Linked DNA regions of Drosophila melanogaster. The protein of the gene in region 1 interacts with the protein of each later gene in a pairwise test. Each region holds a gene or a part of one and is shown in the gene's direction. Other genes may lie near its edges.

What was found.
Region 2: the proteins of CG6254 (region 1) and cona interact in a two-hybrid assay, tested with the Drosophila melanogaster proteins (one large-scale study listed by BioGRID).
Region 3: the proteins of CG6254 (region 1) and spri interact in a two-hybrid assay, tested with the Drosophila melanogaster proteins (one large-scale study listed by BioGRID).

What each region holds. Positions count from the first base shown.
Region 1 is NT_033777.3:10,158,492-10,162,984, reverse strand, and holds CG6254 (uncharacterized protein), read left to right. Parts: upstream 1-1,653; 5' UTR 1,654-1,723; coding exon 1,724-1,903; intron 1,904-1,958; coding exon 1,959-3,176; intron 3,177-3,239; coding exon 3,240-3,589; intron 3,590-3,653; coding exon 3,654-3,810; 3' UTR 3,811-3,841; downstream 3,842-4,493. Other genes in the region: Best1 (bestrophin 1), read left to right, coding at 675-1,000.
Region 2 is NT_033777.3:18,384,042-18,387,387, forward strand, and holds cona (corona), read left to right. Parts: upstream 1-1,786; 5' UTR 1,787-1,880; coding exon 1,881-1,985; intron 1,986-2,045; coding exon 2,046-2,345; intron 2,346-2,417; coding exon 2,418-2,593; intron 2,594-2,664; coding exon 2,665-2,707; 3' UTR 2,708-2,846; downstream 2,847-3,346. Other genes in the region: CG14309 (uncharacterized protein), read right to left, coding at 1-179, 268-591, 656-960; Vha100-4 (vacuolar H[+] ATPase 100kD subunit 4), read right to left, coding at 2,906-3,171, 3,228-3,346.
Region 3 is NC_004354.4:10,582,406-10,587,107, reverse strand, and holds the start of spri (sprint), read left to right. Parts: upstream 1-1,685; 5' UTR 1,686-2,198; intron 2,199-4,702. UniProt on the Drosophila melanogaster protein: Potential Ras effector protein. May function as a guanine nucleotide exchange (GEF), by exchanging bound GDP for free GTP.

The sequences.
Region 1 (4,493 bases):
TTGCTCTTCTACGTAATCGTTGCTGATTTCCCTATTACACTCTTATTTTTGTTAAATTTTTTTTTTTTGATTGTCTGCTCTTATTTTATGATTTATTTATAAACGAAAATGTATACAGTTATTTCCGTGTGTACTAAAAAATATTTTTAATTGAAACTTATTTAGTAACAAAAATTAAACTATTACTAATTTTAACAATTTATTTTTGAATATACCCTGCAAAATTAATAATGAAAAAATTGCTAATAAGCTTTTTGTTTTACAGTAACCATTTTTTAATTACTTAATTTAGTTTAGTATTCAACCTAACGAACCCACAAAAAAACCAAAACTTCCCACAATATGTATCTTTTCCAAGCTGTCTTTAAATTTACATTTTTAATTTAGTTTTATATTTGAATTTTAAAACAATTGGCATGTGTTTTTTTGAAAGCGATGCCCACTTGTTGAGTACTTAACCCAGCTTGGCTCTTTTAAATTAAATATTTTGCGCTTTGTTTGACCGCAGAATAGGTTTCTGGCTGGTCAAGTAGGTAGCCATGAACCCGTAACCTCAACTTCATATTGGTACCCGCCTAGCATTAGTCCTAGCCATTTCGTAGACGTTGCACGTTGCGTATGATGAATTTAACCATGGCATATACTTTACTGACACTTACCATCTATGTTTCCAGTGGAGAGCATGGACCTGAGGTCCTCCACGGATCTACTCGGCGATGCGGCAGTGCAGCCCGAAGACGAGGGCGATGACTTCGATAAGCTGAAGGCGGAACGCGAGAAGGAGAAACTGATGCGACAGCAAAAGAATCTGGCCAGAACTATTAGCACCGCTCCGGGAATGGAAGCCACGGCTGTGCCGATGGTGCCAATGGTCCCAGTGAACGTGGCAGTGCAACAGGCACAGCTGCAACCAGTTGCATCCAGTGCCGATCTTCTGGCCGGCGGAGATCAGTTCTCCAATTCGACGATGAAATCGGAGGACGCCATCAACGGCAGTTGAAGGACACCTAGTATTTTGTTTCGTACACTTACCTAGTTTAAGTCTAGTGCATTATTTAGTTCCCTAAGCTGATAAGCTAAATTACCTATACTATATTCTAGACGTATATGCCGCTGACATATACTGGACATACGCAAATTAACGGACAGTTTAAGAATGCTCATAATGTCTAAAACGAGCTCGAGTGATGATGGACCTAATTAACGCAGTTAATAACACAAATACTAATATCTAAGTAGAAAGTTTTTGAATTTTACAAATATAAGTTATTTTGTAAATTGATGACGAATTGTTTTTAATCTTTTAAAAGGGCAGTTTTTGCTTGGCTGTAAAATTGGTACACGTTTTCAAAGAAATGAAATCAAAATTTTTGAGCATACATAATATAACATACAAATAGATCTGTGATTCTTGAAACGGAATCTCAAAAATATTCGTACTTTTAGCTAGAGTAGAGTTTGATATGTTAAACGGATGCTAAAAACATACGAAAAGACTTAAATAAAAATGAAATGCCAAATAAAAAAAGCATACCGTTTTCTTGCCCTTAACCGTTAGTTTTAATAATTGCTCTGTAGTTCCGGAACCTCTAAGTCGTGAACTGTAAACCAATGGAACAGTCCGCAGCTCTGTTTTCTTGTGTAGCTGGCAGCCCTGGTATTTTTGCAAGGCAGGGCTGTTAATCAAAACAAAACGAAAGTATATTTTCGATGTTTTCTGAATATGTCGGATATTCTCGCAGAAACACAAGCCGCGAACAGAGATTCAACAATTTGGCACCAATGGTGTCGCCTGTGCTCCAAGGAGCATCCGACAAATCAAAATGTATTCTTCAGGGAGGCGAAACAAAACTCCTGGGCGAGCACAATGGCCATGACCATTGGCAAGTACTTTTGGGTCGATGTAACTGCTATAAATTTACATATTCCAAATAGAAAACTAAGATCATGCCTTTCAGATCAAAAGGGAGGACGAGCTGAGCAATTTTCTGTGCTCCGAATGCTTCACATTGATGGACTGCCTCATCGAGTTTTCGGAGAGGGTTCGCAAAGTGCAGATCCTTTTCAGCAAATTGCAGTTGTTACAGTCTAATAATTTGATGGATTATGAGAAAATTCGAGAGGACTGCGGTGTGGCAACCGATGGATGGAAGCATATAATGCTCGGAGCCGTAGACGAAAGTCTTCCCCAGAATGACGAAGTATTCATCAGCGAGGAACAACCAATAGTCTGCCAAACAGAAACATCCAGTAAAATGAAAAGTGAAATCCTAATGATACCAAATTTTTTGGTGGAAAAACAATGTCTTCAGGAAAAACAAGACTTTCCTAAAGAGGAAGATGTTATTGAAGAAGAAATGCAAATTTCTGGGGTGGAAGAGGAAATCCTAGAAGAAGATGTGGAAGAAGATCTTGCCGAGGAAGAGGTTGAAACTGTGGAGGAAGAGATTGACACTGTGGGAGAAGAGGTTGAAGCTGTGGAGGAAGAGTTGGAAACCCAAGACGCTACAGATTGCTTAGTGGAGGAAGTGGAGCACATGACAGAGGATCGCTATATCGAGGAGTCGCAGATTATAGAAGAAAGCCAAGTTTCAGATTTCAACATGGAAACATATGAAATAGTACAACACAATCCGCAAAAAGAACCCGTAGAAACAAAAGACACCGTGGAATCTATAGAATCAAACGAGGATACCCAGGAAGATATCTCCCGAGAGCATGTAACCGATGAGGAGGATGAAATATCAGAGGTACCAGCCATGTATAAGTGCAATATTTGCAAAAAGCCGTATAAGAAACCCAAAGCCTACAAGCGTCACATGGAGGAGGTTCACAACACTGTGGCCGATGATCTGCCACAGTTGGAGTGCAATCAGTGCAAACTATGTTTTCCAACAGTCGCCCAACTGCATGCCCACCACCGAACCCATGTACGTGCCAAACCAAAGACAGATAACTGCTGTCCACACTGCGAAAAGCGCTTCACCACCTCGGGAACACTGAAGCGACACATAGAAGGCATCCACAACCAAATAAAGCCCTATGTGTGCGACCTCTGTGGCAAAAGCTTCAATTACATTACTGGACTGAAGGATCACAAACTTGTGCACACAGATGAGTGCCCCTTCGAGTGTCCCGTGTGCAAGCGAGGCTTTAAAAACAATGCGAGGTTAAAGGTAGGTTGTCATGTACTCTTATCCACTACAGTACGATTAACTAGTTACCTAATCTTTTGCCAGATCCATTTAGATACACACAGTGCCGAAATCTACGAGTGCACTGTATGTGGCTTGAAGTTAAAAACCCGACGCACATTCAACAAACACAAATTGGTGCATTCAGATACACGGCAATTTAAGTGTGAAGTCTGCGGATCGGCGTTCAAGCGAAGTAAGACACTGAAGGCACATCTCATCCTTCACACCGGCATCCGGCCATATAAGTGCAATTTTTGCGGAAGAGACTTCGCCAATGGCTCCAACTGTCGATCGCACAAACGGCAGGCACACCCCAAGGAACTGGCCGAAGAGGAAGCTCGCGGAGTGACACGATCCACACTTCTTCCAATGCTGGACGAACTGACAATTGCGTATGTTACAACATTAGAGTGTAATCCAGTAGTTTATTAACTATTCCCTTCTATTTTTAACCAGGTCCAAGCTTTTAAAAACACCCGCAGGTCCTTGCAAAGTAAAGGGTAGTAGGCCAAAAGCTGCGCCCAAAGATCAAGATAATGGCAATGAATCTCCAACGAAGGACACCGATGGTGCCATCCTCTACGAGCTGGTCGAGGAGCTTGATTACTCCTAAGTATTTAAATAAACATTAATAAGATACTCACAAAAAACTTGCGATTACAAGGGTCTCTTGGTTTATTCACATTGCTGGTTTAGGTTCTTAAAATCTAGATTACAAATCGAGAGTTGAGTTTACAATTCTTAAATGCTTCATAGGCAGCAGAAATGGAAAAAACGCATTTAGCTTAGGCAAAATTAATAGAATACATAAATCACAAGGCAATCAACAAATTTCGAAAACCATATTCATAATAAATAACAAAGAATTTAACAACAAGCTAGTGGAACTGCCAGTGCCACCGTACCATAAATGAAATATTTTTCGCAATAGGCTTTGGAATGTACAGATCGATATTCAAGAAGCATAGAACTGCCTTTGGATGATCCACCCGAAAATGATTGGCTTTATATGTGGCCAACATTTTCAAATGCGGTAAATATCCGAGGACACACTTAAAAAAGATCACATTTCGGGATGGACAAAATACAATTACGATTTTATAACTATATGTTTGGTAGGAGTTGTCAATTCGTACGGTTGCGAAGAAATATAAAAGGATTGGGTTAATCTAAGGACAATATTATTTAATTTAAGTATGATTCCATAGTTGCATATTTGAGCATTGTTTAAAACACTTTTCTTTTACGAAATAACCAAAGACTATTAAATGGCAAAGTTTGTGCGAAGTGGATACG
Region 2 (3,346 bases), 8.2 Mb from region 1:
CCATAGTTTGGGCCCACCGCAAGGCATCCGTGGTCTCGTCGCCCACCAATCTCTGCGAGGATCGCTCCTCCGGCAAGGTCAGCCACAAGGGAACGCGCTGTTGCTGAAGGGTTCGCAGGGCAGGATCGCTGTCGTACAAGTAGCTTCCCAGGCTTGATTTGGGCAGCATGTTTGCGGGTCTACAGTTGGAACAAAATAATTATTAAAAGGTAAGATGCTACTTCTATAATGTTCATAAATACATTCACTTCCAATCTCACTACTTACTGCGTCCATCCAAATGCCGTATTCAGATCCTTGGACATATCTACGTATCTCTTGGTCTCATCAGCACTGCTTCCAGCTGAAATGTCCGCTCCCATTAGTCGCCAGTCGTCCACATACGGTTTGAAAGTATCCGTCATCAGTTTGAGAGTTCGAAGTTCCTGGACGTAGTCCTTGGCTCTGGAGGTGCCAAAGTCTGTGCCCAGCTGCCAGATGCAGTCGGTGATGCCAACCATATAGGAGGTGTTCAGGATCTTCAGCGTATGCATGGAGTCCCAATCATCGGGCGCATAAGGCACCGGGATGATCATGGTCCAGTTTACGGCCCTTCGAAAAATAAGGTCAGATAGATGATCAGAAAATGGGAGGAAAGCCATCACCACCAACTTACCGCGACCACCGATTGAACCCCTTCCAAATGATTTTGGTGGGGTTTCGCAGCCTAGTTGGCGCATTGCTGGCGAAGTAAAAATCTCCCACGAACTTGATGTGCGCATCTCCCAGCAGATTCGCCAAATTGGTCACCGCCTTGCGGTTCTTGCCATCCAGGGCATCGTACAGATCCTCCGGACGAACGGCAAAACTGACAAACTTTTCGTTCACATCGTTGTAAGGACGATTCACATGGAGCTGAACCAGTGTATCCGCAAAGCACACTACCGCCAGTCCCAAAAGAGCCAAACACAAATGCCACATGTTTTAATCCAGAATTACGAATGGAAAGACCGGAGACCTGTCTGTTGCTCGATGGCTCCACAACTGACCGGAGTTTCATAATGACTACCTCTAAATAAACTCCCCACTCGATCATTTCCATCTGATTTCGCTGCCATCCGCAAGAATTTTGCGCTGATCGCTGCCCTCAATATGATGACCTTCTTCCAATGCACCACTAACGTAACCCAAACCCACATACAAGTGGGCCGTGGTTGGAATGCCGTGCTTATCAATGAACTATGAGATGACCCAATAAGGTTGGGGTAAATCTGCGGAGGCCAGTTCTTCGGCATCCTCGCTGGCGGTCACGGTTTGTTAGAAGAAAAGAGAAGAGAAACCGTCTCATTTTTTTAAATTAAGAAGGTTTCTCACACAAAGTTTAATGTTACGAACCATTTTGCAAAACAAATCACGTCAAAGCTTTCAGTTATACTCACAAAGTAAAAGGAGGGTATATTAGATTCGCTGAAAAGTGTGAAACATGTAGAAGAATATATTTTTATTATATATATTTATATTTTTGATCAGAGTCACAAGTCCAGAGTCAGAGTCGATCGTCCACAGTTTCTGTGATATACATAAATATATGAACATGAATGTGAATATAATGTATGCCAATTTCAGATATGGAAACTATTAAAGTTATGAAGTATTTGTGTTCTTTGACTAGAACGTAAATATTTCCAATTGGTGTAAATTTAAATAGCGCGCTCATCAACAGATCTATCACCAATAAGTGTGTAGAAAGTTGCTATCGTCATCGACCTATCTGCTGTTTTCCAACACTAAGTTGACCGCCATTTTGTACGTCAAAACAGAAATTTCGCCAAAACTTGAATAGAACGTTGCGACAATTATTATTACAGTTAAACAAATTGTTATCCAAAACTACATGAGCAATGGGTAGTAACCAAGATTGGAACAAGGAAGACTCCAAAACTGAGGTCCCACCTGAGGAAGATGACCAAGTGACAGCATACATTGAGAAATCAGTGGCCCAATTGGTAAGTTAAGAAAGGAAACATTTTTAGTTAAAATTTATATACATTTTGATATTATTGTAGGGCTCCGAAAATGATCACCGTACCGCGCTGGTCGATGAAAAGAAGAAGGAGTTGGATGTCCTGATTGCCGAGAAGTACACCACTTTGAACGACTTAACCCATGTCACCAATTCCCAGAATCTTGTGGACGACATCCACTTTCTGCATACGAAGAACGCCAAGATCCTGGAGAGCCTCAATCAGGCGGTCACCGCCAAGAGAAACGTCTCCCAGGCCTACGATGACCATTGCAAGAAGGCGCTCAAGGTCAAGGCCGAGATGCAGGAGCAGACGAAATGCTTCGATGAGTTCACCGTGATGGTATGTAATCTCCTCAAGAAACCAGTAATCTTGCAGGTTTGTAAAATTCTATCCAAATATTTTCTATTTCAGAACTACCACGATCTAAAGAAGACCATACTTAACACCAAGAAAGAAACGCAAGAAATTCGCGCTAAGACGGCTTTAAAGACCGAGGAGCTCAAAAAGAAGCGAGAATTTGTTAACACCACCCAAAAGTCAATGGCTAATGATATCCGTGTTCTAGGCCAGATCGAACATGACCTCATGTGAGTAACTATTAGGAGTTATAAAAAAACCGTACAAGAACATGTATCCCAAATGTTTGTTTTTTCCACAGTGGGATAATCGAAGACTTAAAATCCAAAATTTCTGCAATTTAAGTACAGGAAAACAAATAACACTTGAACAATCGCCAAAGGTGCATTGGAAAATACGGTCGTACCTCATCTTCCAAAAAATAATCCTTAATATTGCTGCGTTTTCCAAATAATTTGACAAATAAAGTACTTTTTATTCTGTAATGCTTTTTTAATTAAACCTTCTTCAAGGAGCGAATCACGATGGCTATCCTGATGGTTCTAATCATCTTCGACGACGATCAAAATATCCTTAAAGCTGAATGGCGTGAACGGATATCCGTTTCCCACATAGAACTTGCTCATGAACTCCACCCAGTGCAAGCGCAATGTGTGCAGGAAGGCGGAAAGACCCTCCATCATGACCATGATAGCGATGGTGAAAAACTCCCAAACGGCAAAGATGAAAAACAGCCCAATGGCGCCCACGTAGCCGTTCATCTGAAGTCCCATCGCCAGCACCATAGTCCACAGCACCTCCGATAGCTCTGAAATAAGATCTGCATGAAGTACAAATTCAATTACTGACTTAGCAGATTCTTACGGGCATGAGCTAAGGACAAGGCCCAGAGACGAAGATATGAGGCCGTGTGTGAGATGGTACTAAGGATATACTCGATTGTGTGGATGGCCTGGTGGATCCAGATTTCGCTCATCGGCTCG
Region 3 (4,702 bases), on another chromosome or scaffold:
TTACAATTTCGCAAACAAAGATAATTTGCGAATGAGATCGACGACACGACACAATGGCACTTTACAACAACAAGAAGAACAACACGACAAATGGGGCGGGTATGGGGGTCTGTCAAGAAAACCTGAATTTCGAAATGGAAGGGCTAAAAAAAAGGTGAAAAATCAGAAATCAGAAGCTTCTTTCCAATTCCAGAAGTCAAAACGCTAATCGGTAATCGACAATTGCTTATCGGTCATCGACAGTTTTCGCGTTTTCAAATTGTTTGTGGCTGGCAATACAAGGTGAATTGTAAAAAAAAAAAATTAATAAGTGCGAGCAAAAAATGCGATCACATAGCAAACAAAGCTGCAAATCAAGCGAAACAAACACGTCGCCCTCTTAACAAGATATAACCGGGTTAAGCACAATAATATATCTTTTAATATAAATACTTATTCATATACGATAGTAAAACTGATAAAAGATAATTTTCAAGAGAATCTGTTAAGATTGTGAACCAAAGTCTGTGCATTCAATTTCCAGCTAAAACCAAACAACGAAAGACAAAAAGAACAGATTGCTAATTAAAATTTATGGGTGTCATAATTTTCCGACAATTAAAAGTCTCATTTTACAGCAAGAAATATTGATTTGGTCAGCAGTACCATGTGAAAAAATATTACTGATATATTGCAAAACAACCATTTTAGATTTCCATGTGCCATAGCTTTGGCTTTCAGCTATAACTTGTTTTAAACAATATAAGCTTATTTTGCATTACACGTTTAATTAAATTGGGACAGCATAAATTTTTGATAATTACAAGCACCTTTTCCAAAATCGAAAGTAAATCAGCACCTGCCGTTTAATAATTCACTTTGGTGAGCAATATTTATTTTTTGCCAACTCCGCGCTTTTTTAAAGAAAATTTTGTAACCGTAAAACACCAATATAACAATCCATTGCATTCATAGTAATTTCCATTTTAAAACATTGTTAATTTACGGAAAGAATAGTTTAGGAAACTTTTAATACAGTAAGTTGACTTAGTAGCAGAAGAATAAACTTTAATATTAAATATTTCTTTAACAAAGTTAAAAACTTTGCTATCTTCCTTACAACCTATGTTAACCACAGTGACAACAATGATCTATGAGTAAGCGTAAAGTTTGCTTAATACATTATATTATAGTTTTGATATTATACTTTCATAAATTAGTATGGTTGGGTAAATGGTTGTAATTAATATATTGAAAAATGTAAGATCTTATGACTGACATGTGACCACAATAGAGTTAAGTTTAAGTTCTTTTTTAATATAGTTTAACTATTAAGCTATTACTCCATGGTTTCATATATCTTGTGGAGTAAAGTGCTGTTAACATGTTCTGTAAACATATGATACAACTTTCCTTAACTCTTCGACCATTGTGCTGTTAAGTTAAAAATACCTCTTAATATACTTTTATTATTGATAAATAGTTTAGATTCATATACATATCTTGTGGCGCAAAGAACTTTTAACATTATCCATCAACTGAATGGAGAGTTTTCAGTAGGAGTGTGACCACTGTGCGCCATCGTTTCGCATCTCGTAATTTTGCTTGTGTTGTTGCTGTTGTTGTTGCTGCTGCTATTATCGCAGCGAGTTGTTGCTGCCGGCGACGATCTTCGTTTTGTCGGCGGCTTCAGTTCAGTTCAGTTTAGTTCGAGTTCGCACTCGGCCACAAACGGTCGGTCGGTCGGTCGGTTGTTCGTTCGTTCGTTCGCTGAAGGAGAATTGTGGAGAAGAAATTGAACCCGTAATCTTCGGAATCCGTAAAGCCGTAGTCCCGTAGTCGTAAGGCGATCGCGAGAATTGAAATTGTGCTGCAACTCAAGTAAAATAATATTGTGTCGCACAAGATCACTGCGTGTCGCGCTCAATTAAATACACATCTTTTTTTTTATATTTTTCCCCCGGTCTTTATTTATTTTTTTTTGTTTAATTTTTTTTATTTGCGCTACAACGTTGTTATTTATATTTAATTGTTTTGTAACAACAACAACAACAGCAGCCGAGTTAAGTGCGAAAAGTGAAGTGAAGTTTGTCGGCGAGTGAGTGCGAGTGCGCACAAAAATTGGAGCAGGTTCCAGAGATCTTGAGATCTTCAGAACTAGAGATTCCCAGTTCCTAGGCTCCCGGGTTGCGACTTTTGGCGGCATTGGCGTTCCCCTGGTAATTTAATTGAAAGTGATGATCGTAGCCCATCCATAAAGCCACTTACCGGTAGTTCCCCCATCCTTTCACAAGTTCAAGTTCACCGACCACGCGGACTCCTTTTTTCGCTCTTCCACCCGCTCTCTCTTCTCACTCTATCTCTCTTGATCGCTTGCCCTTCTTTCACTCGAAGAAAATACAGTGCACACTCGAGATGGTGAATTTGGATTGGCCATTAATTGCTCCCAGTTTGGGTTATCATACTAAATCTTTGTACAATATCTTTGGAAAAAGATTAAAACCTAACTTTAAATAAATAGTAATAATTACTGCTGTACAACTATTCTTTTTTTTTTCTGAGTGAAAAGCTCTTTTGTCTTTCTCGCCAAAAGTGCGTTGGATTTCTTTACATTGTGCCTGGTTCTCTTCGGTTTACACACTCGGTACATTGCACCCTTGGTCCCTGTTTCCTTTAGTGTCGTCTTTCGCTTTCAATGCATTTTGACAGTGGATTGCTAATCGGCCAGGTATTCGCAGGCCACCTTATAGCACCTACCATATATACCCATCGTACATCTACATACCATTCATACATACAATCGCATTCGCATTCGTATATTCGCATTCGCATTCCTGTCGCCGTTGTCATTTCCTCACCTCATCGGGCACCGCCCTCTTGCTTTCACGCACCTGATGATAAACGGCTCAAATTTTGATAATGTGTACGGATTGTGCTGCAAATTGCTCAAATGGCTAATCAGCTGTTGCTAGCACATATGTATAACCCCCTATACTCCATATCTTTCCAATGAAATCGGCGGGAAATTGGCTTTGTCTCGAGTCTTATCGCATGCCAAAAAAAAAAAACGAAAAATCAAAAGGCAAAAACCCAAAACTTAAGTCTGAGCTCCAAGTCTAAACCAAAACCGCAACATCATCTCAATATTTCCTTAACCACAAGTGCACAGAGCAAACAAGGTCTACTATTACTATTGACTAATTAGGCATTCTTAAGATATAAAAATATATAAATAGAGCAAAATGGTATAACAATTATAATCTATATTATCTAACATAATATCCAAAACCGTGGTGTGCGTGAAACGTGCCCTAATTTTCGCTCTGTGTGCGTGCATCAGCGGATTGCTGATAAGTGGAGAATGTTTATTGTCATTACCTGTGTCCCACTACCTGTACATTCCCCTACCCTGCGGTACTACCCCTCCGGTCGATATGGTATTCCTCATGCAATTTGCGGTTGTCACAGCTATTAGGTTTAGATAGTCCACTGTAGCGGTCTTATCAATGGGTTGCTTTCGCTGGTCAGTCAGTCAGCCAGGTATCTCTGTACGTACGTATGTTTGCCATGCCAGTATTATGATAGCGATCGTCAGTGGTTTACTTCGCTAATGATCCTCGTCGCTCAGCATGGGAACATCGCATCTGTATATGCCCACTAATCCCACTCGTATATTTTGGCTTTTTTGGCTTATCGCGATGGTCATTTAAATACACGTAGGAATCGTTGCGATCCCATCATATACATACAAACGTATGTGCCCAGATATTTTTGGGATACCATTTCCTTTCTTCGGGCTCTTTCCAGTTAATATCTTTTTAGTAGTTCTTAGAATTAATTTATCATATCATATCACTCACTGAACTAACTAATTTGTCCACTTAATGGATACAACTCATGATTATCAAGTGATCTCTGTGAATACCAATTCATTGACTGATAGATGATCACACTCAAATAAAATCGCTATAATTTCCGATGATTATTGACTATGCTTATAAGTCCTTAGCCCTACTGAATGATCTCAGCTAAATTCCCCACCAAACTTTTCTCACCCACACACGAAATGCCGCAATGTCGAGTTAAAATTATTCGATGGCAAGAAAAAAAAAACAGAGATTAAATAACAAAATACCAAAAAAAAAAAAAATTGCCAAAAAAGTCAGCTTTGACTAATGCGCTGCATTGGCGGTGCGATCATTTTTTGGCGATCACTTTTTAGCACCAGTTGAGCTACCATGTGGGCGCAGCGGCAGCCAAAATAGTTGGCCAAGAGTCTCGAGGTCTGAAAGTCGCACTCTTGTTTTTGTTTCGACTTTGTTTTGCTTTCGGCTATCAACAGCTAACCGCTGCGCCCAACTGTTCCAATAGAAAGCCAGTTAACAGCGATACGCTCCGGTTTTCTGTCTTCTCTCTGTTTTTATTATTGGGAAGGGAGATCGAGATCGTTGGATGGGAATCGATCAGTTGATTCGCGGTTCGTAAGTGTCTAAATATAGATTTCGACCATATTTGCTGGCAAATATTGGCCATGAGTGTGCGGCGGGCTGAACCTGCCTCAATTCAAGTGGCACAGTATCTGTATCTGGGCTCCTATATCTTTATACATATCTTTGTACATATATATGAGTATTTGCGAGTGAGTGCACGTGTTTTTGTGGCAGACGGCAGATCGGGCAACATGTCACCCCACGCGACATGCCACATACTACATACTACATAC